Linked DNA regions of Arabidopsis thaliana. The protein of the gene in region 1 interacts with the protein of each later gene in a pairwise test. Each region holds a gene or a part of one and is shown in the gene's direction. Other genes may lie near its edges. The genes, in order: AT1G12650, AT2G46550 and AT5G22310.

What was found.
Region 2: the proteins of AT1G12650 (region 1) and AT2G46550 interact in a two-hybrid assay, tested with the Arabidopsis thaliana proteins (one large-scale study listed by BioGRID).
Region 3: the proteins of AT1G12650 (region 1) and AT5G22310 interact in a two-hybrid assay, tested with the Arabidopsis thaliana proteins (one large-scale study listed by BioGRID).

What each region holds. Positions count from the first base shown.
Region 1 is NC_003070.9:4,304,008-4,311,831, forward strand, and holds AT1G12650 (rRNA biogenesis RRP36-like protein), read left to right. Parts: upstream 1-1,783; 5' UTR 1,784-2,021; intron 2,022-2,051; exon of another isoform or gene 2,052-2,161; 5' UTR 2,162-2,175; coding exon 2,176-2,280; intron 2,281-2,361; coding exon 2,362-2,489; intron 2,490-2,589; coding exon 2,590-2,656; intron 2,657-2,756; coding exon 2,757-2,809; intron 2,810-2,900; coding exon 2,901-2,955; intron 2,956-3,039; coding exon 3,040-3,114; intron 3,115-3,206; coding exon 3,207-3,327; intron 3,328-3,438; coding exon 3,439-3,485; intron 3,486-3,570; coding exon 3,571-3,666; 3' UTR 3,667-4,000; downstream 4,001-7,824. Other genes in the region: LPLAT1 (MBOAT (membrane bound O-acyl transferase) family protein), read right to left, coding at 7-70, 181-266, 353-761, 863-1,083, 1,203-1,258, 1,364-1,659; AT1G12660 (thionin-like protein), read left to right, coding at 4,936-5,236, 5,487-5,551; AT1G12663 (thionin-like protein), read left to right, coding at 6,962-7,247, 7,389-7,450.
Region 2 is NC_003071.7:19,109,844-19,117,729, reverse strand, and holds AT2G46550 (uncharacterized protein), read left to right. Parts: upstream 1-3,523; 5' UTR 3,524-3,738; intron 3,739-4,257; 5' UTR 4,258-4,272; coding exon 4,273-5,466; 3' UTR 5,467-5,769; downstream 5,770-7,886. Other genes in the region: AT2G46560 (transducin family protein / WD-40 repeat family protein), read left to right, coding at 157-444, 521-694, 803-1,026, 1,187-1,320, 1,421-1,642, 1,733-1,911, 2,050-2,160; AT2G46540 (fiber), read left to right, coding at 6,049-6,127, 6,490-6,572, 7,008-7,043; AT2G46535 (uncharacterized protein), read right to left, coding at 7,410-7,481, 7,577-7,886.
Region 3 is NC_003076.8:7,381,439-7,389,290, reverse strand, and holds AT5G22310 (trichohyalin-like protein), read left to right. Parts: upstream 1-3,457; 5' UTR 3,458-3,945; coding exon 3,946-4,374; intron 4,375-4,457; coding exon 4,458-4,550; intron 4,551-4,625; coding exon 4,626-5,549; 3' UTR 5,550-5,708; downstream 5,709-7,852. Other genes in the region: AT5G22320 (Leucine-rich repeat (LRR) family protein), read left to right, coding at 1-7, 112-198, 313-393, 490-1,116; NIT4 (nitrilase 4), read right to left, coding at 7,527-7,675, 7,762-7,852.

The sequences.
Region 1 (7,824 bases):
ATTTACCCCGTGAGCCTGCGATCATCAAAGCTGACTGAACAAAGAACATCATATATCCAGGATACAGTCCCTGCAAATTGCATTAGAGGTAGAAGAAAAGATCAGAATAGAAATACAAATGTATGTTCCTCCATCATTGGAAGTAATTGAAAACATGAAAAAAAAAAATAGAGAACTCACATGCCAAACCGCGCTGACGGTTTGTGTAGCTAGTAACTGGAAGAAACCCGCTTTCTTTCCGTTCTGCACAAGTCTCTCATACACATCTGCATTTTTAAACATCATGAATAAGTTCACAGATGAACCGAAATTTCTGCTTTATAGGATTCATTAGTATCAGAAGACTACTTACAGTGACGGAGCCACGTGCTGACTTGTATGTTCCACACAAGTGGAATCTGAACCGCGCTCTTAGCTAGTTCAACACCGAGAATATCTACGTTCTTGGCACGGTCCCATTTGGGCTTTGGTGAAGCATCATCAGTCCAACCACTGAAACCCAAACCAGAGATGATAATAGAAGCCTCTGAAATTGACCAGATGAAGTAATACTTCCAACGAGCCGTGAATCCAGCCATGTATTGGTAACTAAATTTTCTCAAGAATCCCCATTCTTGATACACTGGTTCTGTGAACCGAGTTAACGGATATTGAGGCACTAAATAGAGATACAGAGCCATGCAAATCGCAGCTTGCAAAATAGCTCGGATTGTAGCTCCATAAGGCGATGGCTTCTTTCTTTTCTCAGTAGTATCCCAAATCTAGAAAGCACAAAGTTTACATATTCACAATCTAGTCTATTAAAACTTCAGAGATTCTTGATAATGATAAAAGCTCTCAAGAAGAAGAAGAAGAAGCTTACCCCTTTCCCTTCGGTCCATTCAAGATAATCTTTCATTTCATAAACAGGACCAGCAAAATGGCTACCACAACAAAGGCAGTAACCAAAGTACTCAATCAAAGACGGCATCTGAATCAATCTGTTTTTCTTCTGAGCTTCACGTAGACCTTCCTCCTTCAACATCCCATCATTGTAATTCATTGAACATGAGATGACTTTCAGCGTCAACACCATTAACGCTCCTAACACATGAACAACAAGAAGGGCAAGTTAAGAAGCTAATCACAATTACTACACATGAACAACAAAGAGCATCCAAATCAAAAGGAAGCAACTTTCAGATGAGGAAGGTAAGAGTTACCAGTAGAATCGATTCCTCCTTCTTTCCACGCATCACCACTCATATAAAACACATGACTACACACACAAATCACGAATTTGCACCATAACTAAATCAGGGTCAATCAGAAGGAAGACGATTTCTGCACTAATTCATAGCATAAAGGGTTCAGAATTTAGTACCAGCCAATAAGATAAGCGAAACCGAGGAAGAAAGTGATGATTCCACACTTGGGTCTATAAATCGCCATTGAAGCATATCCGATCGTCATCGGAACAAGGAAGTGAAGGTTGGAGGAGAAGCCAAAGGAGAGGTAAGAGAGGAAAGCACCTGAAGCAGCGGCATACAAGTGTTTACCGAGTCTACTCGGGACGATTCGACAAGCGAATGAAACAGGGATCGTGGCAACGAAACAGAGGAGGAATCGGAGTACGGCTACCGAAACTCCGATTGAACCAGCCATTGAACTCATATCCATGGTGTCGAAAACCCGTTTTTTTTAACTCGGAATGAGTCACAACGACCGAGTTGCTCCGGGAAGCTTTCTTCTGATCTCGCCGAATCTATAGATCGGTCGTGTCGTGTCGTGTGGTTGTTGGTGTCGTGTCGTGTGGTTGTTGGCTTTCTTTGTTAACGAAAGGTATCATGTAATAAACCGGTCGGTACAGTATTTTAAAACCAACTGAAATTGCAAAACCAACGGTTTAAATTAAATACCCTAATTTCCTCTTTTTTTCTGGTCTTACGATCTCTTTACTTCTCGTGAGTTCTCTCGTTTCTTCGCCGTTCGTTGTCCTCTTTAGCCGTCGTTACTTGATTCTACAGATTTTCTCTGTTCAAGTAAGTTTATGGTTGTGGTACTCTTACTCTGTTTTAGGTTTTTGTTTCTCGATTGTGCCATGCTTAAATTTTGATTTCTGTATGTAACTCTGTTTATGTTGGGAAATTTGCATCTTAAAGGTGTGATCTTTATTGATTAGGTTCACGTGTCGACATGAAAGGAGCTGGTAAGTTTGAAGGGAGCTCAAGTAAGATAGTTTTTGAGGATAGTGAAGAAGATGAAGATCTCTCGTGTTCATCTGTGTCTTCTTCAGATGAGGTTAGTAGCTTTAGAATAGGTATGGAACTTAAATACATTATTATTGTTTGTTGAAGCATCTGTTTTTGAATGTGGAATTAGGAAGAAGAAACAGAAAAAGAGTTAACCTTTGAGGAGATTCATAAATTACGAGCTGATGGGTCTAAAGCTGTTCCATGGAAACCAAATCAAGTGAAGAAAACAGGTCGTGCTCGTGCTAACAAAAACAGGTATACACAACATTGTTTTCTCTGGTTCTTGGTTTTTGTCTTTCTTTCAGTTGTTGGTTACTTTGTTAATCTTTGGTGTTTCTATTTGTGATGAAAACAGACCAATGGAAGTGAGTTCTAAGAAACCTGTGAGTCGTTATAGAGAGGTGGTTCACGTTCCAAAGAAGGTAATAAGTCTTAGCATTGAGAACATTTTGAATCTCTTATTTCTTCTTCCCAAGTTTTTTTATTTTGGAGTTGTTAATAGAGTTTGTTTGTTTGATTCAGGAGGTTCGTGATCCTCGCTTTAACCAATTGGGTGGAACACTTGACGTCGAGGGGTATAAACATCTTTGTCTTGTGAACTTGAAATTACTTATAATGCACTCATTGTTCTTGTTTCAGTGAACGTAAGTTTTGTATCTTCTGTAGGTTCAGGAAGCGATATAATTTCTTTTTTGAGGACAAACTTCCTGTGGAAAGAGAGGTATTATTTATTAAATGCTGAAAACGATATGGTTCCGATTTGTCACGAAGCTTTTTGTTTGATTTTCTGGGGTTCCTAAAACAGGAATTGAAAAAGAAGTTAAAGAAAACAAAGAATCCAGAAGAAATCGACGAATTGAAGAACCAGTTAACTTACGTTGTGAGTGATCCTTTCTTTACCTCTCCTGTTGTAACTCTCTGATCATTAGTTTGTTTACTCACCTTTAAATCTGTTATTTGTATATATATCAGGAGAAAATGTTGAAGTATGAGCCATCAACACAGAACAAAGGAGCAGCAATACTAACAGAACACAAAAAGAAAGAACGAGAAGCCGCAAAAGAAGGAAAAAGGCCTTACTATCTCAAAAAATGTATGTCTCCTGAGTCTTTTACTCAAAAGTCCCAAGTTTAGGTTGAACATTACAGTTTTGCGTTTCTCTTTGCCTACAATTTACTGAATCCTTTTCTCTTTTCTTATGCAGCGGAAATCCGAAAGCAAACACTCATCGAAAAGTACAACAGTCTCAAGGTATGTAAATCAGTTTTGACTACCAAAGTTTTAAATGTTTGTATGGAAACAGAATCACTGAATCAGTTCTTTTTGTACAATCCAGGAATCTGGGAAGCTTACATCGTATCTTGACAAACGGAGGAAGAAGAATGCAACAAAGGATCATAGGTTCATGCCCTATCGTCGAGCAGAGGAATAGAGATAAGCAGTTTTGCTTTAAGACCTGTCTCTTACCTTGGTCCATGACAAATTTTGTGGCGGTCTTTGTGATACTGATCTAAAATTCATGTTTGAGGTTTGAAAGCCAAATGCAGCTTTACATTTTGTTTTTGCAATTGAAAGCCAAATCGAATACAAAGGCTGCTTAGTTTGCTGTTGGTTCTGTGAAGACATGAGAGACTCTAGACCTTTCAGAGGGTTCAAATCTACATTACTTTTCTTATGTTACTTACAACTGTTTAATGTTTTTAAGCATTTAGTGTTTCATAATTCATACTGTTGGTTCTTTTCAAGATTGAATGAAAAATATCCGGAATCCAAAAAAAGGTCTCTAGTTTCGATATATATCGTAATATTACTAACTAATTTATGTTAAGAAATATCCGGAATCTAAAATAAGATTTTTTCTAGTAATTAATTCGATTTTTCAATAACCTTTTTATCAGCTACATTTCACCATTTTTAATGTAGTGTGTTTGAACATAGACGCAAATATCAAAAAGGAAATAAAGCACATTCATGTACGTAAGCAAGCAATTTATGTGTACACACATACACATGTTAGACATACGTTAAAATAAATGGTAACGTATATTTTATCATCATAATTAGACAGATCTACAAATCCTAAACGAAACTCATCTAGAATTTATTTCTCACTATGTCATCATCACACAAATACTACAGCCTGGTTTGTTTTTCAAAATTTTAGGTTGATTTTTTTTTTTTAATTGAAGTTTTAGATTGAAAATTTATTCAAAATAAACATTAATACTTTGAGTCATATATAGTTAAATACTAGTATATATTTTATTGATGAATGTCATTTAGATATATTACTATTTTAACATGCATGAATGTCTATGTTTACACATATGACATATCTAATTCACTTAAAGTCAGGTACATTCATGTATGTACAGTGACGAAGTACAAACAAATATGTACATGCTAGGTTAATGCGCGATTTTGTGCCATAAACATAGTAACATACAATAAAAAAAATCTCTTAATATATTTTGTATTTGTTTTTTAAATATGGAATCTCTAGATTCTAAATGAATTGAATTAGATTTAATTACCAACTTATGCATTGTATGAAAATGTTAACTATAACACAAAGTTACACAATCCCATATAAATAAACCTTAGTTACACAAACAAGCAATCACAATTAACAAACACTTTCCATCAACATTTCTAATATTCTCTGCCCAAAAAAAAACTCTCTTTGTACCTTCAAAAAAAAATGGAGGACAAAAGAGTGGCCATGTTAGTGGTGATGATGTTGGTGATGGGGAACATGTTAATTGAGGCAGAGGCTGTTATGTCTTTTAAATTATGTTACGGAGGTTGTCTTGTGGCGTGTGCTCTAATAGCGCCTCCGATTAAAAAACTTTTTTGTCCTTTTTTGTGTATCAAGGATTGTAAACGTCGACCTATGCTTTCTTTTGAGGCAAATCTAAATGAAATTGACCAAACTGGTTCTTACTGCGAACTCGGATGTGCTACCGATCGTTGTGTTTCATCCTCCTCAATTGATGATAAGGGTAAGTTTGTTGTTTTTGTTTTTTTTTCTCCAAGTTCTTGTATCAATAACGTTCATATATATATACAATTTAATCTTGTGGGTCTAAGGATATTATGTAAATTTCTCTGGAGTAAGAATGATGATTTTGTTTTGGGTGTAATTCTGCTATTAGTAAGAATGTTTGATGGTTTTTAAGCATTCAAATAATTTTATTGTGTGGATTCTAATTAATTTTCTTAGATTTGGTTGTTTGTTTTATATATGGGCAGATCATGTGGAGAAAGTTTCATTATGCGTGGATTCATGCTCAGAAGAGTGCTCCCACAAGAACTAAAATCGCTATTGATTTTAGTCTATGAAAATTAATCTCTAATTAGAAGATAGTGTCGTAGTTTGTATCGATTAAATATTCTCCACTGAGAATTTATTTCCTGAGTTGATATGCTTTGTGTTACGAGCAAGCCAATTGCAAATATATAGGTATCGAGGCATCCATCTGAAATAAAGAGACTTTCATTAATAAAGAAAAGGAATTGTTTCATAATAATATTGTGCAGACTCACCAACGTATTTAATTTAAGGTATGCATCTTGAATCTTATTCGATGAATCTCATTCCTATCCGTAACAAAATTTACAATTTTGATCATTCAAAAATAAATAAGTTTGAAAATTTAACCAAAATAATGTGTTAAACAGTTAAAAATACATCATGTGCATGTTTATTTGCCAAATGATTCAAAATTGAACCAACGCACACATTCTTACGCTTCGAAACCGAATGGTCACATGTGATCGTGATCGATGGAGACATTACGTATGTACGTAACCCTAATCAGATCAAAACTGATCAAAAATATCTTGTTTTACGAATATCTGTCTAGTTAGCTAAAAAAAACGTTGATATATCTTTCTAAGGTTTGGTTACCTTCTTATTTTCTCTTGAAAGCCATAATCCAGTACAAATGCTACTTAGTTTGCTCTTGGTTCTCTTAAGACATGAGAGACTCTAGCCCTTTCAGATGGTTCAGTTCTACTTTACTATTCGTATGTGTTACTTCATTTGTTCAATTTTTTGAATGCTAAAATATCCTGAATCCAAAATAAGATCACCTATATATGTTGCAATATATCATAATATTTATTTAATAATGTTAAGAACTAACTTTGTTTTTATATGCCAAGATTACTCGAAAAATATTCAAAGATCAAACAAACTTGTTCATTTATTCTGTTTAATTTTGTACTTCACTCGATGCAGAAAAAAAATATTGTTTGATTTCTTTTCTTCCAATTATTCTAATTAATACAACGATCTTATATGAATATATGATGCCATGTTGATCATTTCACCATTTTTAATATGGAGTGCTTGAACATAGATACATATCAAAAAGAAACTAAAGCAAATTCATGTACGTAAGCAAATATATACAAACAGTCTGCACATACATAAACATATATGTTAACGTATATTTTGTCATCATAACTAAACAGATCTCCAAATCCCAAACGAAAGGAATCTAGAAATATTAATTTCCCACTATGTCATCATTACACAAGCACTACAGCCTGATTTGTGGATGAATCTGGAAATGTTAACTAATATATAAACTTACACAGTCTCTATTTTAACAAGACATGATAACCCAAGCAACATTCACAGCTTACAAAAAAACACTTTCATAAAAAAAAAAGCATATCATCTAGAGAGAAAAAAATGGAGAGCAAAAGAGTGACATGCAATGTTGGTGGCAGTAATGATAGTGATGGTGATAGGGAACCTTCTGGCTCAGACAGCGGCTCAAAAAATCCCATTTAAAGAATGTTATCCAGCTTGTCTTGTGGAGTGTAAAGCTGGTTCAAAGTTTCCAAAGTATCTTAAGTGTCCATTTACGTGTACCAAAGAATGTCTTCAACAACCTTCTCCACCATCTGTTTCTTCAAACAATATCGATGAATCTGATTATTTCTGCAAACTCGGATGTGCAACTTATCATTGTGTTTCTCTTTCTTCCATCCAAAATCCGAGTAAGTTTATACTTCTTCTAAACAATTTTTACATTGTAAATCTTACCCATAACGGTGTTTACAAATCGATGACCATATATATATAGTTGAAATGAGATTGTAACGTTAAATGGTTTTGGTTGGTGTTTGTGTTATGGACAGATGTGGAAAGAGTATCAGCATGTGTGGATTCATGCTCAAACAAGTGTACCAAGAAAAACTAGAAGCGTTGGTACTAGGAGAATTCATGTGTGAAAAAAGGATCTGAAGACTGGGCCAAAAGCCCATTCATAATTTGGGTTAACTATTGAAATTTAATTACTAAAACAAACTAATGAATTATAGTACTTTCCTTTTTTTTTTGTAACTGTGTATCCTTTGGGCTTAAAGCCCATTCCCAGTTTGGGTTGATTAATAATATTTTATTATATAAAAAAAGATATGAACAAGTTTGTATAATTCAGTTTTTAAATAACGAATTTTTTTTTGGCCGACAAAAAATAACGAATTTTTTATTCAATATATTTTGCTACAAGAAATCAATTGATATAAAAGGAAAACAAAGCTGAGTTAAAAAAAAATCAAAGGAAAACAAAAG
Region 2 (7,886 bases), on another chromosome or scaffold:
TCGAGATAAAATTTTCAGATGATATTGCATGTCCCATATGAAGACCAAGTTTATGTCAATCTGTTGTTATTTTGTTGTTGCAGTGTTTTATTATGCTTAGTGGTAATGTGGCAGGAGACATAGACACATCCCTAAATGTGCATTCGTGACATGCAGGGTATAATTTTCTTTAACCTAGAAGATGGTGATTCTTCCCAAAATCAGTCAGACTATATCTGGTCAGATGCTGACTGGCCACATAATGGTTGGGCTAACTCTGAGTCAACTCCCGTTCCAACATGTGTTTCACTCGGTGTTGGTCTTGGGGATAAGAAAGGAGCACACCTTGGGTTAGGTGGGGCCACTGTTGGAGTTGTTTCTCTTTCCAAGCCTGGGAAAGCTGACAGAGTTCCTGGCTACTCTGGGTTAGGAGCGATAGCGGATCCAGGATCATTTTTTACCCAGGTCACACATAGCTAAAAAAAAAAAATTGATAAGCCAAATGTATATTTTCTCATAACATTAAATAAAATTCACGTAGATCCGCCGGTGGTTAGGAGTCTCTGGTCTAGGTTGGGAAACTCAAGAAGAATTTGAAGAGTTTGTTGATCCTCCCCCAACAGTTGAAAGTGTTATTACGAGAGCATTCTCTAATCACCCGACAATGCCCCTCTTCTTGGTTGGCTCAAGCAACACTCACATATACTTGTGGGAGGTTTGTGCCTAAACACTTGCACCATCTGTTTTAGGAGTTCGGAGTAAATGATATGACATTTCTTATCTATCCTTGTGGATCTTATAATGCAAACCTTGCATGTTACAGTTTGGAAACGAAAGAGCTACTGCAACTTATGGTGTTCTTCCTGCTGCAAATGTTTCCCCTCCTTATGCTTTGGCGTCGATATCAGCAGTGCAATTCGGTCCATTCGGACACAGATTTGCTAGCGCTGCACTGGATGGAACTGTATGCACTTGGCAATCAGAAGTTGGAGGAAGGAGCAATATTCATCCTGTTGAATCATCTCTTTGCTTCAATGGCCATGCATCGTACGTTTCATGATCCTTGAGTCTATAAGTTCTTGTTCACTAATATGCTAAAAACACATAAGTTTTAAATTATTGCTGTCAGTCATGAAAATTACCATTATTTCTCTGTTTCTTGTTCTATTGGCTTCAGCTATTCTGTTTCTGTTATTTATGGTTGCAGAGATGTAGGATATATTAGTTCGAGTGGATCCATTGTTGCAGCTTCAGGATATAGCTCAAGTGGTGCAAATGTCGTTGTGTGGGATACTCTAGCTCCCCCTTCAACCTCCCAGGCATCTATCAATTGCCATGAAGGTCCTCCAATAATTTTTTTTGTAGAAGTGTTAGTATCATTTCCCATAATCACAACTCTTAACAAGTTTTTTTTTTGTTTTGTCCCTTTTCTTCTATGAAGGTGGTGCACGCTCTATCTCGGTATTTGATAATGACATTGGTAGTGGTTCAATTTCTCCTATGATTGTGACTGGTGGCAAAAATGGTGATGTCGGTTTGCACGATTTCCGGTTTATTGCAACCGGAAAGATGAAGAAGCAAAGGAACCCTGACGGTGGATCTTCGACTGATGGAGATCAAAACAAGAATGGGATGCTTTGGTATATACCAAAGGCTCACTTAGGTGCACACCCTAAAGCCTATTTTCACCTTCATATTCCAATTTTACCGGAAAAATATCCTGAAATTTGATTGACATTGATGCAAATTTCAGGGAGTGTGACAAAAATAGCGACAATCCCACGCACAAGTCTTTTCTTGACGGGAAGCAAAGACGGAGAAGTAAAACTTTGGGATGCGAAAGCTGCAAAGTTGATTCATCATTGGCCTAAACTACACGAAAGACACACTTTTCTGCAGCCAAACTCGAGAGGCTACGGTGGAATCATCCGGGTTAGTGAACCAAATCACCTAAAGCATAATCCTTTCATCGTATTTTCTCACAGTGGCTTTGGTTTCTTAGTAAACCAGAATCAAAGTAATGTCGGTGTATGTAATCGAATTTGGGTATGTGTTACGAATTTGGTGTAGGCTGGGGTGACTGACATACAAGTTTGTCCGAATGGATTTATAACGTGTGGTGGTGATGGCACGGTGAAGTTCGTCAGCCTCGTAGATTCTTCCTATGGCGATGCTAAATAAAAAGAAGATACATTTTCCGGGAAAGTTTTGCAGTCGAGAAAACGAGTTATTGCTACCTTGCGTGTGTTTATTGAATACGTGATTTTTTGTGATGTAGTTTTTTTCTCTATATGGTTTAATATTTGTGTATATACAAATATATTAAAGATTATGAAGCAGTAGAATCTTGAGTTGACCATAATCCAGATTTTAATTTATCTTTGACTTGACTTCAATCTATACTCGGAAATATCATCTATTTATCTTTGACATAGTTTTCGTTGACTTTGTTGCATCAGATTTAGACCAGATTAAATCGGACTGATTCCAATTAGATTGGTGTTAAGTGTAGTGCAATAGAACCGAAAATAAACATTATCAAGATTTAGTTCGTTATTGTAATTTTTTTTCTTTCTTTTTGGTGTTGGTTTGGTATTAGCTCGATATAGTTTAATAAGATTATGAAAAATTGACGGCTAGGAACCTGGCCACTATCGTATTACGTAGTGGAATATTATCTTATGGTTGATTATTAAACTGCTCCATAATTTGTGTTGTAGTCTTGTAGACGAAATGATATGAATCATCAAAATGTTTGATTAAAACCCCATTTGCCAAGAATTATTCCTAAAACTATTAAGTTAAGGCAAAGGTCCATTTCATTAATAATTATTCTAAAGAAGTTAGTTGTATATATAGTATATATATAGACTATGGTGTTAATTATGACTGAATATATTAGTGCTCACATAAAGCATCTTATTAGAATATCTTAGATTGCTTAAATAATTATTAACCACGTAATAAATAAATCTCATGTAACACTATCAATTGGAGAATAATGGAGAGAGACAATTAACCATAATGACTTGAAGACACTTGGCTTCACCTAACATTCAATTTCCTAGACGAGGCCACTATTTACATTCTCTTTACCTAACTTTCAGAACTACATTAAACCAAATTGACATGTAAAAAACCTAATTTTATATTTTCAACATGTCTATTTACCATTGGCCACTTTATTACTTAAATGAAAACGATGTCATAAAAAATATTAGTAGACCCTAACTTGAAATTTAAAATTTAATCGATCATTTAAAAATCAAAATCATTCGACGCAATTACTACAAGATTTTTATGTTTTAACCAAACATTTATGACGTAATCTACCATCGCGCGTAATCGTATAGTGATAACTGATAAGATAAAAGGTCTTATCCGTTAAAAAAGGAAAGGGAAGCCTTTTTTAGATCTTCTTTTTTGTCGCCACGTGTAATTAATATCTAATCGAACGGCTGTCAGGTGAAATCTATGGGCAAATCTGTGGACTCAAATACTCATTAACATAACTATGGGTCCTCTCAGAAAACGGTGCCGTTTTGCGGAAGCTTGCGTGCTGAATGACACAGAGACTAAGAAAACGATAATAAACTGCAAAATGATTCAAAAGATTTTAATCGAAAGCAAACAAAAATTCTCTGACAATCAGAAAACAAAAAAAAATCAGAACAACTCTTATCTTCTTCACGAGACTGACTAAACAATCATAGATTTTTCCGTTTTTTGGGTTTCGTCTGGTGTTACTCTCTCCTTCTGGTTAGTTCTTTTTTTCCGAATTCTTACAAATTATTGCGGTTTCATTAAGATGAATTATGATTTGGATCACCATCCGTTGTTTTTGTGTCCGGTTTTGATTCTTAGGTCTAATCGCGTTTCATGTTTTTTTTTTGTGTTCTTCTGGGTTTGATAATTTTATAGTTGAAGTTTTATGAAATTTGATTTCAATTGCAAATAATGATGATTTGTTTAGTAAGTTGATAAATTGACAAAGAATCTGGCTTTGGTTTTTGTTTGCTTCTAAGAAAATTAGGAACTAATTCTTCAATTTACCTGGAAAGCAAAACATATCAGATTCTCTAAAAAGTAGTTTTGTAATAAGCTTTTTTGGTGATGGATCTGTCGGCAATCAGAAAGATTCTTCCTTTGAAATAAATGATTCATATTATTTTTCCTATAAATAGATTCAAAACGGTTAATAAGATTTTGCTAAATCTACCTAATTTCTAAATCACATTGATCTTGAATTGAATTCTCAGTCTCTTGTCTTATCTTTAGAGTTATGGTGAAATAATGGCAGCAGCTGAAGCAAGAGCAGTGTGGCAAAGAACAGTTAATCGTTGCTTTGTCCAAGAAGACGCTAAAAGAGCTCCCAAGTTAACTTATTGCCAATCATCTTCATCCTCAACTGCTTCTTCAACTAAGCAAGTGGAAGTTTCTGGTTCTTCTCCTCGAGTTTCTGTTGAACCACGGACTCAATCATCTTGTGCAGGTTTCATGCCTCTTCCTCGAAACCCGAATTTCCCTGATCTGTTACCCCACAACACCAGACTGTGGAGTCATCCTCATCATCAGTTTCAGGTGAATAAGAAGCAGCCATTGGAGGATGAGGTTAACAATCAAGGTGTATCTGAGAAGAAGTCTGAATTGGGAGCTGGAGAGAAACAAGGAAAGTCTTTTAATTCCGAAAGCTTTCAAGAGTTTATAGAGTTGATGGAGACAAGGGAGAGTTATGGTTCAACTGGGTATGATGAGTCCTCTGAGAAAAAGTTAAGTGAGCTCTCTTTTGATCCTAGCTCGCCGTGGAATCTTCTCTCGAGTGAGAAAGCTGCACCGTGGTGGCGAACTACGGATAAAGACGAGTTAGCTTCCTTGGTTGCACAAAGATCTCTAGACTATGTTGAGAATTGTGATTTACCAACACCGCAGAAGATGAAACGATCTTATTATGGTAGTCCACGTGGTTTTGATTCTGATGGATTGAGAGACTACTCTGTCTCTGGCCAAACCATCAAGGGTACAAGCAAAGGAAGCAGCTGCAAGAACAGACCCGAGGCTTCATCTGAGTCTGATTTAAGCAAATCCGAGCTTCTAGAAGCACTGAGGCGTTCGCAAACGCGGGCTAGGGAAGCGGAGAATATGGCTAAAGAAGCTTATGCAGAGAAAGAGCACTTGGTGAAGATATTGTTGAAGCAAGCCGCAGAGCTTTTTGGGTATAAGCAATGGTTACAACTGCTTCAGCTAGAAGCACTTTACCTCCAAATCAAGAACAAGGAGATTGACAATAAGAACAACGACGATCCAGGGGTTTCCATCCCTTGTTGGAGCAATGGCAAAGCAAGAAAAGAGGGGAGAAAGAGAAGAAGCAAAAGGGGTAAACCGAATGGAGCAAAGTACGCGGTTGGTTTAGCATTGGGGATGAGTCTTGTTGGTGCTGGTTTGCTTCTTGGATGGACTGTTGGATGGATGCAGATGCTATCGTTCTAGTTTAAAGAGAAGAAAAGAGACAAAACTTCATCTTTTTTCTCATTGAACAGCTTGATGATGTTGAAATGAGTTAAAAGATTGGCTTCGAATCAGCTTTTGGATTTCGTTAAGGAGAGAATGTAAATTGTTGTAAGAATTTTGTTAATATTGTGTTTACTAGTTTGATCTTTTCCTTCAAAAATCATATGAAATTATCTTCTTTAATGTGTAAGTAAGTATCTTTCATGTTCATGTAATATCTGCATATATTAACTACTGTACAGTGTATATGATCTTTCTTTCATGTTCCTAGAGCTTCGATTTCTTGAAAATTTAAAATACTTAGTAATTTTTTACTGCTGGAAGCAGAATGAGAAAGAGAAAGATATACAGTATATATATTTTTTAATTACGGCAAAGGTGATTATAATGGGCCGAATTGCGAACATTTGGGCCCAGTAACCCGACCCGACCGGAGATGATCTTTAATTTCGTTTCAGGTGAGAAAATGGTTTACTCAGGAGCAACTATCAATCGAATCAGACATTGACGAGGAGCTTTGGTCGTAATCCGAGGAAGAGATTAAAATCGGAAAGTGCGAAAATGCCGGTCATGGAGAAATTGAGGATGTTCGTGGCGCAGGAACCAGTTGTGGCTGCTTCTTGCTTAATCGGCGGTGTTGGTATGAACCCTAATCTCAATCTTAATTCCTCACCGATCGATCGCATTCTCTTTCTTAGAAAAGGATTTGCTTTGGGATTTATCTAGTTTCTGGAATTCCTCTTTGAATCTATAGAGCTAGTTTGCTCGATTGTAATTTGAGAATATAGAGAAATGCCTGATCCAAATCTCTCTATTCGGAATCGTCATTTCTTTGGGTTGTCAAAGAGAGTGTATTTTAAGGAGTTGAAATTAAGCTTAATTTGGAACCATGTCTTCCATTATCTCCATGTATAAGTAGCAAAAGATTATGTCTTTCTTGAACATTAGCAAAAGGCAATTGTGTTAATATACATTTGCTGATGGATTCTCTTCATCTTGTAGGACTATTTTTGCCTGCGGTTGTGAGGCCTATTCTAGACTCTCTCGAGGCTTCCAAACAAGTTAAAGCTCCTCCACTTACCGATGTATGTATTAGAATATATTTATCTCTGTGGAAATTCCTTTTGCTGCTAAAATCGTCATCTATTTCCTATCTAATGAAATGTCTCTGATGTGGGAACTCTGCATGATAGTTGTTCTTAGTATCCGTGTAGGCGAATGTTTGGACGTTTCTTTTTTTTGCTATGTGATGTAGCCTATACATCATCTCGATGTTTTGTTCCTCCTGCGTCTTCTTGTGATTTGAGAGTTCCATCTTTGGTTCATCCATGCCTTAAAAATCTATGCTTTTCATCATTGGACGAGTGTCATGATCACATTTTGTTACTGCCAAAAATGGATTGGGCATAAAAGAGACTAGTTAGTTATCACATTGCTTAGTTATCCAACGCTTTCCTATATACTCTTTACAGGCAAACAAAGGCGTCAAGTATTAACTCAGATCCAATTTGCTTTTGCAGGTGATTGCTGGTGTCACAGGGAAGAAACAGAGTTAAAACAAGCAATGACTTCCCCTGTTTTCTTACATTCAGATGATCCCTATTCCTTTTTTGTCTTTTACTCTCTCTATTCACAATGAATAAGCCAGACTCATTTGTTTGTTATGAAACTTAATATAAAGGCATGTGTGTACACTCACTTTTGTTCATCACTTGATCAGATGTATTCATTTCTTAACAACAAATGAAAAAAGCTTGAAACTTTTCTTGCCATGGCTCATGAGTCTTAACAACATTATATATGCATATCACACAGATATTAAATTACAGTAAAATTGCTAATCTTACATACACTCTTAATAGCTCTTTTTCATCATCTTGATCCCTCAATAGATAGATAGATAATGCATATTGAAAACAGGCTTAAACACTTCCACTTCTCATCTTCTTGTTCTTCCATGGCATTGCTAGCTTCAATCCCTTGCATAAACTTCCCTGCATTTCCCCAACCAAACCCGTTTCAGCGAAAGACAAGACTTGGGAAGATGAAGAAGTTATGAAGAAGGAGCGGAGAAACACAAATACTTTACCCAAAAGTGAGATCCTTTAACAGAACCACCACCATGGTAACTCCCTGATCTGTTAAACTTCATGATCTTCATGTTGTTCTCGTTGATATTATCTCCTGCTCTCTGATTCTCCGACAGAAAGACATAATTACCCCTCACAACAACATCCCCTCTCCCTTTCCTCCTCAAGAACCTCAAGAGCCCATGTTTCCTCTCGGGCAAGGGCATTTGCGTGAACTCACCAGGAAGGAGCAAACGAGGTGGCAAATCAAGACACTTGGGGTAAGAAAGAGGACGAAGAGGGTGCTTGGGCTTGCCTGGTTGGTCTTCC
Region 3 (7,852 bases), on another chromosome or scaffold:
AATCAAGGTGATCTTTCTTACATTTATGCAATCTACAGAACAAACCTGCCTCTTCTCACAATCTTTTGTTTATATTGCTAATCGTTATTTCATTTACGCTTAACTGTTCAGGCTCTCCCAGCAGAACTAGCAGTCAACAAAAGACTACTCAATTTGGATGTGGGAAACAATGTGATTACGCAACTCTCTGGTTTAGAGGTATAGTCTAATTCATATAGGTGAAAGCAAATTTGTTAGCCTTCCCTAGCTTGTGGCAAGTTTTTGTGGTGATCGTGTAATAAACCATCAAATTTGTGTGCTCCCAAATGATAGGTTTTGGGTACACTATCTTGCTTGCGAAATCTGAATATTCGAGGAAACCCGATTTCTGATAACGATAAGTCAGCTAAGAAGGTAAAACAACTTTTTCTACTTCTTTTTTCCATTGTGATTAGTGTAACTGCGTGAAGAAATCGTATAAGAATGAGGAAAATTGTTTTGATGTCGCAGGTGAGAACGTTGCTTCTCCCTTCAGTGAATGTATTCAACGCTCAACCCTTAGAAAAAAGCTCAAGGAATGCAAAGCATATTCGGCTTGATACCGATGATGAAACCTTTGATGCCTATCACAATAAATCAGCAGAAGAGGAACAATCTAAAGAAGATCGAAAACGCAAGAAGAGCTCTAAGAGAAATAAGTCAGAAGAAGAAGAAGTCAACAATGAGGATCACAAAAGCAAGAAGAAGAAGTCTAAGAGCAACACAAATGTAGATCAAGTTGAAACAAAAAAGAAAGAAGAACATAAAGAGAAGACAATCCCAAGTAACAATGATGATGATGATGATGCTGAGAAGAAACAGAAAAGGGCTACTCCAAAGGAGGAACTCGATGCTATAGATGATGCTGAAACCTCTTTCGCAGAAATCTTTTCCCGGGAAAATGTGCCAAAGGGTTCTGAAGACGGTATTGAGAAGAAGAAGAAAAGCAGCGTCCAAGAGACAGGTTTAGTAAAAGTGATAGATACTAAAGCTAACAAGAAGAAGAAGAAGAGTGAAAAGAAGCAAAGCAAGAGTGTAGTGATTGATCTTCCCATGGAGGTTGAGATCGGGTTAGGAGGAGAGTCTAAGTGGGAGTAAACTGCAACAGAGGGAGTGTTTTACTCTTTAAAAGAAGGGACAGTTATGTCTGTAACATCCAACGGCTAGGGAGTATTTTGATATGGTTAAAGAACATAGGAGAGGAAGAAAGTGGTTTCGATCTTCTTTATAAATTGTTTTCTGCACTGTTGAGAAGCTATATCTAATTTTATAAAATGTTTGTGTCATTGAAACCAAAACAAAAAAAGGAGAATAGGTCCCACCGAGACTTGAACTCGGGTTACTGGATTCAGAGTCCAATGTCCTGACCACTAGACCATGGGACCATTCTATTCACGCTTTAATATTTGTTATTTTTATTGTGTTAGTTTCTAGTGTGTAATAAAAAAGAGAAATAAAATGATACAAGCTAAATGCTAGGAAAAATGTGGAAACACTAGTTTGGACAATGAGAAGTTTGAATTTTGATTTCAGAAAAGAAAACTAAATTAATTTTAGTGCAGACTATTCCGATTAGGTGTAAATGTGGTCTACATTTGTGATATATTATGAAGACGTAGAGAAGAGTTAGAAATTTTTGTCATCTTCTTTTGTTTCCTATGTTTGTTTTGTAATGCTAATGTTAAAACCGATTTGCTAGTTCAAAATGTCCGTATCTACCCGTATTGAATGTATGTAATTACCCATAGTATGTATTGTATATTGTAAACGATATTTTTTTAGTTTAGCTTATTTGACAAAAAAGAACGTCGTTTTTAAAGTAGAGTTTAGATTGCTGCTGCAAGAGTAGTTAGTATATTGAATAAAAGTATAGTGATATGACATTTTTGTCAAATTCTCCATGTGATATGTGAGTAGTAGTCAAAGACTCAAAGGAATAAAAGAGAAACAGACTAGAACTCTTTTTAATCTGAACCGTTCATCTATGTTGTATTTTTCTTCTATCATCGTGGCACTTCTCTAGTCTTCACACATTTTAAAATTCTTTTTTACTCGTATTAATTTATTTTTAAATTAGTAATATGTTAAATTATTTGTAATGGAGTTAAAAGAATCTGGAGGATGGATTTGATTTGACTGGCAGAGAAGGCATCTATCTCTTTGGGATGTTCCATAAGTATTTACTATTATTTGTACTCAGCATGTGCCTGTCTTTCATAATTCATATGCCAATCACAAAACTTGTGTTCAAATTAGTATAGAGACAATCATTGGTTTTGAGTTGTGAATTATGATTGGATAGTAGTAATCGTTAAGGCATCTAGGAAATTTTATGTCTGATTTACATTCAAAAAATCCTATATGTTTTAGAGCAGCAATATTTTTTTTTATGAATCCAAAAATCTAAAACCATGTATTCATTGTGTAACTATGATTGTTTAATGAGAGATTTTTAGCAATGATTGAACATCTACTATATATATTAGTGTCAAAATTGTCAAAGTTTCGATGTGCGACAATTCCAATAACTTATAACAACTGTCTGTAAAATTTTAGTGTATTGATCTTAATACCTACCTCTCTAGACAAAAGCCATAAGTTTATAAACACAATCCTAAAACATAAAATGAAGAACTATTCAATCCTAAACGAAAATGATTTATAATAATTATATTTCTGTTTGTGTTTTTGGATTGTGTATAACAAATATTCGCATTTAAACAAAAATACTATATATTATCTTTCTAAACACTATTCAATCATAATTGAACAATCTGCATGATATAAATCGTCAAAATCAATAAAAACTAATCAATTTTGCATTAAAAATAAAAAAACATCATCTAATTCAATACAATTTTTTTTCCTAAAACATAAGAAAAAAGGAGTATACTTTCTTGGCTCATGTATCTTGCCTTGTCTATGCATATTCATTTATTTCAAAATATGTCACCCATATTCATGTTTGTTGAAAACAATGCTACTTTATAGTAGTACGTAGTACGTTGTCTTTAACTCTTTTGACGTTCATATTATTTCCCAAAAAAAAAATACTAATCAAAAACGAAATGAGTCGGGTCTTAATCCGATCAAACGAGGTTAAATTGTGACCTAAACCCGTGTTCTGTTCGACTTTTGGCAAGTTCTAGAAAACACATGTTAGCTTTTGACGTTAGCATAGAGGTTAATGCTAGTTTTGATAATCTAGTACGTTGTCTTTATTTGATGCTCTTCTTTTTTTCTTCTCCAGAAAAGCCTACAAAAACTTAATAGAATCCTGTCTAATCCGATCAAACCAGGTTAACTTGTGGTCTAAAGATTCTAAACTCTTTAGAAAGCACTAATTTGGAAACATGGATTCCATGATATCTTTTTGCAAGTCATTGTTGCATTAATGAGTTAGCGGCAACAATATTTGTACTCATTGATTATGAAATTATTTTTGTTAAAATTAATGACGAAATTGGACAACATCGGTTCATGAACCCTCCAAAGAAAATTTACATTGCCCAAATAGACAACGCACAAACACAAAAACACCACACTGTCTCCATCTTTCTTTCCTCTTCTTCAACATCTCTCTTCTCCCAAGAAAATAAAACACAATTTCCCAGATTCAAAACTTCTTTTTCACAAATCACAACGTCTTCAAAGGGATCAAGAATCTTATTACTCTTCTCTTCTTTTGCTTTTAAGAAGAAGTAAAAACATCATCTTAACTTTCACTTTTTGTATTATCTTTCTCTTTCACTCACTTTAAAGTCTATTTAGAGATTCAAAAACAAAATCTTCCAGAAACTGCTTCTGATCTTAGAAGATGACTCACTTCTCCTAAAAAGCACCAATTTCAATCCTATTTTTTTCTCTTGTTTTCCGGCAAGATTTGGTAAAATTTTGTGTTCTGATTTGTTGTTTTGAATATCAACTATGGAACAACGGAAGAAAGGTTGTAAGATCAGGAAGAGAGGTGGTTCTTCCTCTTCTTCTTCTTCACTTGCTCGTCGAAACCGCTTCAAACGTGCAATTTTCGCCGGGAAAAGAGCCGCTCAAGACGACGGTGGCTCAGGAACTCCTGTTAAGTCCATCACCGCCGCTAAAACTCCAGTTCTGTTATCGTTTTCGCCGGAAAATCTTCCTATAGATCATCATCAATTGCAGAAAAGCTGCGTGTCGGCGAGAAAGCTAGCTGCGACGCTGTGGGAAATCAACGACGACGCAGACCCTCCGGTAAATTCTGATAAAGATTGCTTGAGAAGCAAGAAACCATCGAGATACAGAGCGAAGAAATCAACAGAGTTCTCTTCCATTGATTTCCCGCCACGATCATCCGATCCGATTTCTCGTCTAAGCTCAGAGGTTAGGGTTTGCTTCAGTTTCAAGTTTCCTCTGTGTTTTTTTTCTTTCTGAAATTCTAAGTCTGAAAAATCAAAATTGCACAGAGAATCGATCTCTGTGACGATATGATTCGTAGAAGATCAACAAATCCTCAGAAATTAAACCCAATTGAATACAAAATCATTGGCGCAAACTCGGTATGATTTGCAATCTTACCCTAAAAACACTTTTCTTGCGGAAGAAGAAAGGTCTGATTCTTAATTATATTACAGGTGAAAACTCGTTTCAAGAATGTCAGTGACGGATTAACAACGTCTAAAGAACTGGTAAAGGTATTAAAAAGGATCGGTGAGCTCGGAGATGATCACAAGACAGCAAGCAATCGTTTGATCTCTGCTTTGTTATGTGAACTAGACAGAGCAAGATCTTCACTAAAGCATCTAATGAGTGAATTAGATGAAGAGGAAGAGGAGAAGCGGAGGTTGATAGAGAGTCTACAAGAAGAGGCGATGGTTGAGAGAAAACTCCGGCGAAGAACAGAGAAGATGAATAGAAGATTAGGGAGAGAGCTCACGGAGGCTAAAGAAACAGAGAGGAAGATGAAGGAGGAGATGAAAAGAGAGAAGAGAGCTAAAGATGTTCTTGAAGAGGTTTGTGATGAGCTAACTAAAGGAATCGGAGATGATAAGAAGGAGATGGAGAAAGAGAGAGAGATGATGCATATAGCTGATGTTTTGAGGGAAGAGAGAGTTCAAATGAAGCTTACGGAGGCGAAGTTTGAGTTCGAAGATAAATACGCCGCCGTGGAGCGGCTGAAGAAGGAGCTCCGGCGGGTTTTGGATGGTGAAGAAGGAAAAGGGTCGTCGGAGATTCGTAGGATTTTGGAGGTGATTGATGGTTCTGGTTCTGATGATGATGAGGAGAGTGATCTTAAGTCCATTGAGTTGAACATGGAGAGTGGTAGTAAATGGGGTTATGTTGATAGCCTGAAAGATCGTCGGAGATTTGATGGCTCCGGCGGCGATGATGATGATGATGATCCGGTGGAGAAGAGATCAGTGATTGTTGAGAATGGTGAGAGAGATGAGTCTTTGAAGACTTTGAGAGATTACATTGTTTCAAATGTTAGATGTATTGGTCCTTCATCGTCAGAGCAGTGGAATCATCGGAATTTACCAAGCTCTGAGTTTGTGTAATCACCACCGCTAGCGCCGGCGAGGAAGAAAAAGAAATCATTTTTTTTTATAGTATATAATATTTCAGTATTTGTAATTTATTCAATTTAATTTGAAATACAAAATCAATTACGGAATATTTTTTGCCGGTATATCACATTTTTTCGTCTACAATGGTTTAACCTCAATTTACTACACATATCCAATCAAATCATTATTTGCATTTTCTATCAAAATATTCCGTTTTTATGATCGAAGTTTCAAGTTTGTAATCAAGTGATTTGTCAGAATTTGAAGTCTATTACGGAACTTAAGTGCTTATTTTAGAGAACAACAATTCATTACGTACGAGTTTTTATGTTTGTAACTAACTCTAATTAGACCATAATGTAGATGTAGAGAATAAGGGGAAACCAAACAAATCATGCTTGGAATGAATTGGAGGTGAATTGTACATTGTATATAACTATTAAAGAACTTATTTATTGGTGGCATTGAAGATATACACATGGAAACGTTGATTTGGTGTAAATTAAATCATAATGATTAGTACAACAATGAGAATAAGAACGAACAATAATGAGATATATAATTGATTCAAGAAAGGATTAGTTTAAGATTTTGAATCAAAAACGAAACAAGACATTTTCTCTATTATTGTCTAGACATTTGGACAGCATCGTTCCATCTTCCCATGTGATTTTGTCTCAACTATATATCCGTTACGTTTTACCCTATTTGGGAATATTTGGTAACAATTCAACCAAAAAAGTTACAAAAATTAATAAGATGACATGAACAATAACGAACAATAACGGATCTTCATTTTTCGATCATATATACACATGATTAGGTAATAGGTCAATTCGTGTGAAAGATATATGCATATACCAATCAGCCTTACTCTATGTCCCCCACTCAATATAATATTTTAGCTTAGAACCATATATATATGTACCATTAAACCAAATCAAGGGGTTTTGGGTTCCAAAAGTTTGTCTTTCTTTTTTTGTTTCATACTTTTACATAGTTTAGGGATAAATCATTAACTCGTATAACAAAATAAAACTACTAAAGTTGAAGCATAATATAGTGCCACTAGGCTAACTAATTTTCTCTCATTGAATGAGAAAGGTCAAATGCTAAAAACATTCGCATTATAGGGAGATATTTTGTCAGAGTGATGATCTTATCAAGTTCGTGTGTGGTTTATCTCTTTGTCTCCTCCTTTGTCTGTATAATAAACATTGATATATACAATGAACCTACCTACAAAATCACTATTTTGAAGACATTGATGTTACTAATATAGCAACTAGCAAATCAACTGTCAGTGGACAGATCGTCTCAAACATGGGCAGACTTTTCGTTTCGATTTTGGTGTTACCAAATAACACTTTGAATGTTAAAAATATGAGTTTTCCTATATATTAATATACTTCGTATTTTTATCCCAGAACTTGATTACATAATTTTTAAACCTATAAAACAGAGTTTTTAAAATTCCATATTTCGGTTTGTTTCGGTACGAATGTGTTGCTTATCCTCTATGCCAAACCAAAAAAAAACAATTTATATGAATGTTTTAGGTTTTCACAGGGTGGATACAAACAGAAAAGCCTAAGCCCATTCCAAGAGACAGGGAAATAAATAAGGAAACAAGGCCCAAACCCATAGAGAGTGTTGTGTTGCGGAAGAGTAGAGAGAATTGGTAGCTTATTTGTTTTGGCCATTTGGGTTTGTTTTTCTTTCATCTTTTTCGTAAAAATGACTCATCTTAATCCCTAACAAGTTATTGAATCACTAGTTTCATGTACAAATTTGAAGAACATGGAACGAGCAGAACCAAGCATAGTATAAACGAGGAATAGAAGACAACACTCAATCTAACGGTTTAGATTTTTTATCGATTTCAATTACAACACAAGTCTTGAAGTTTACTACAGATAAACTTCATCAAATTACAGAGAAAGTTTGGGTCTAACAAATGATCATTTGTTAGACGGATTCATCTTCCATTACCTTTGACGTCTTGAAGCTGACCGCTTTTCTCGGATGCTCCCTTATGTTCAAGCTAAACACTTCAGGCCTCGAGTAATGTCCGACCACATCAAAATCAAACTTGGCTCGTGCTATGTCCCCAAGATCTGTTAGAGATTTATAGGATATGATTAGTTAACTTTTTGTTCAAGAATGAATGATGATGATTAACAAATGTTAATTAATAATATACCTAGATCAGCTGTGATAAGAGCTTCTCCTCTATAGTTTGGTCCAGCTAAAACAATTCCCAAAGGTGAAATGATAGAGCTTCCACCAGCGCA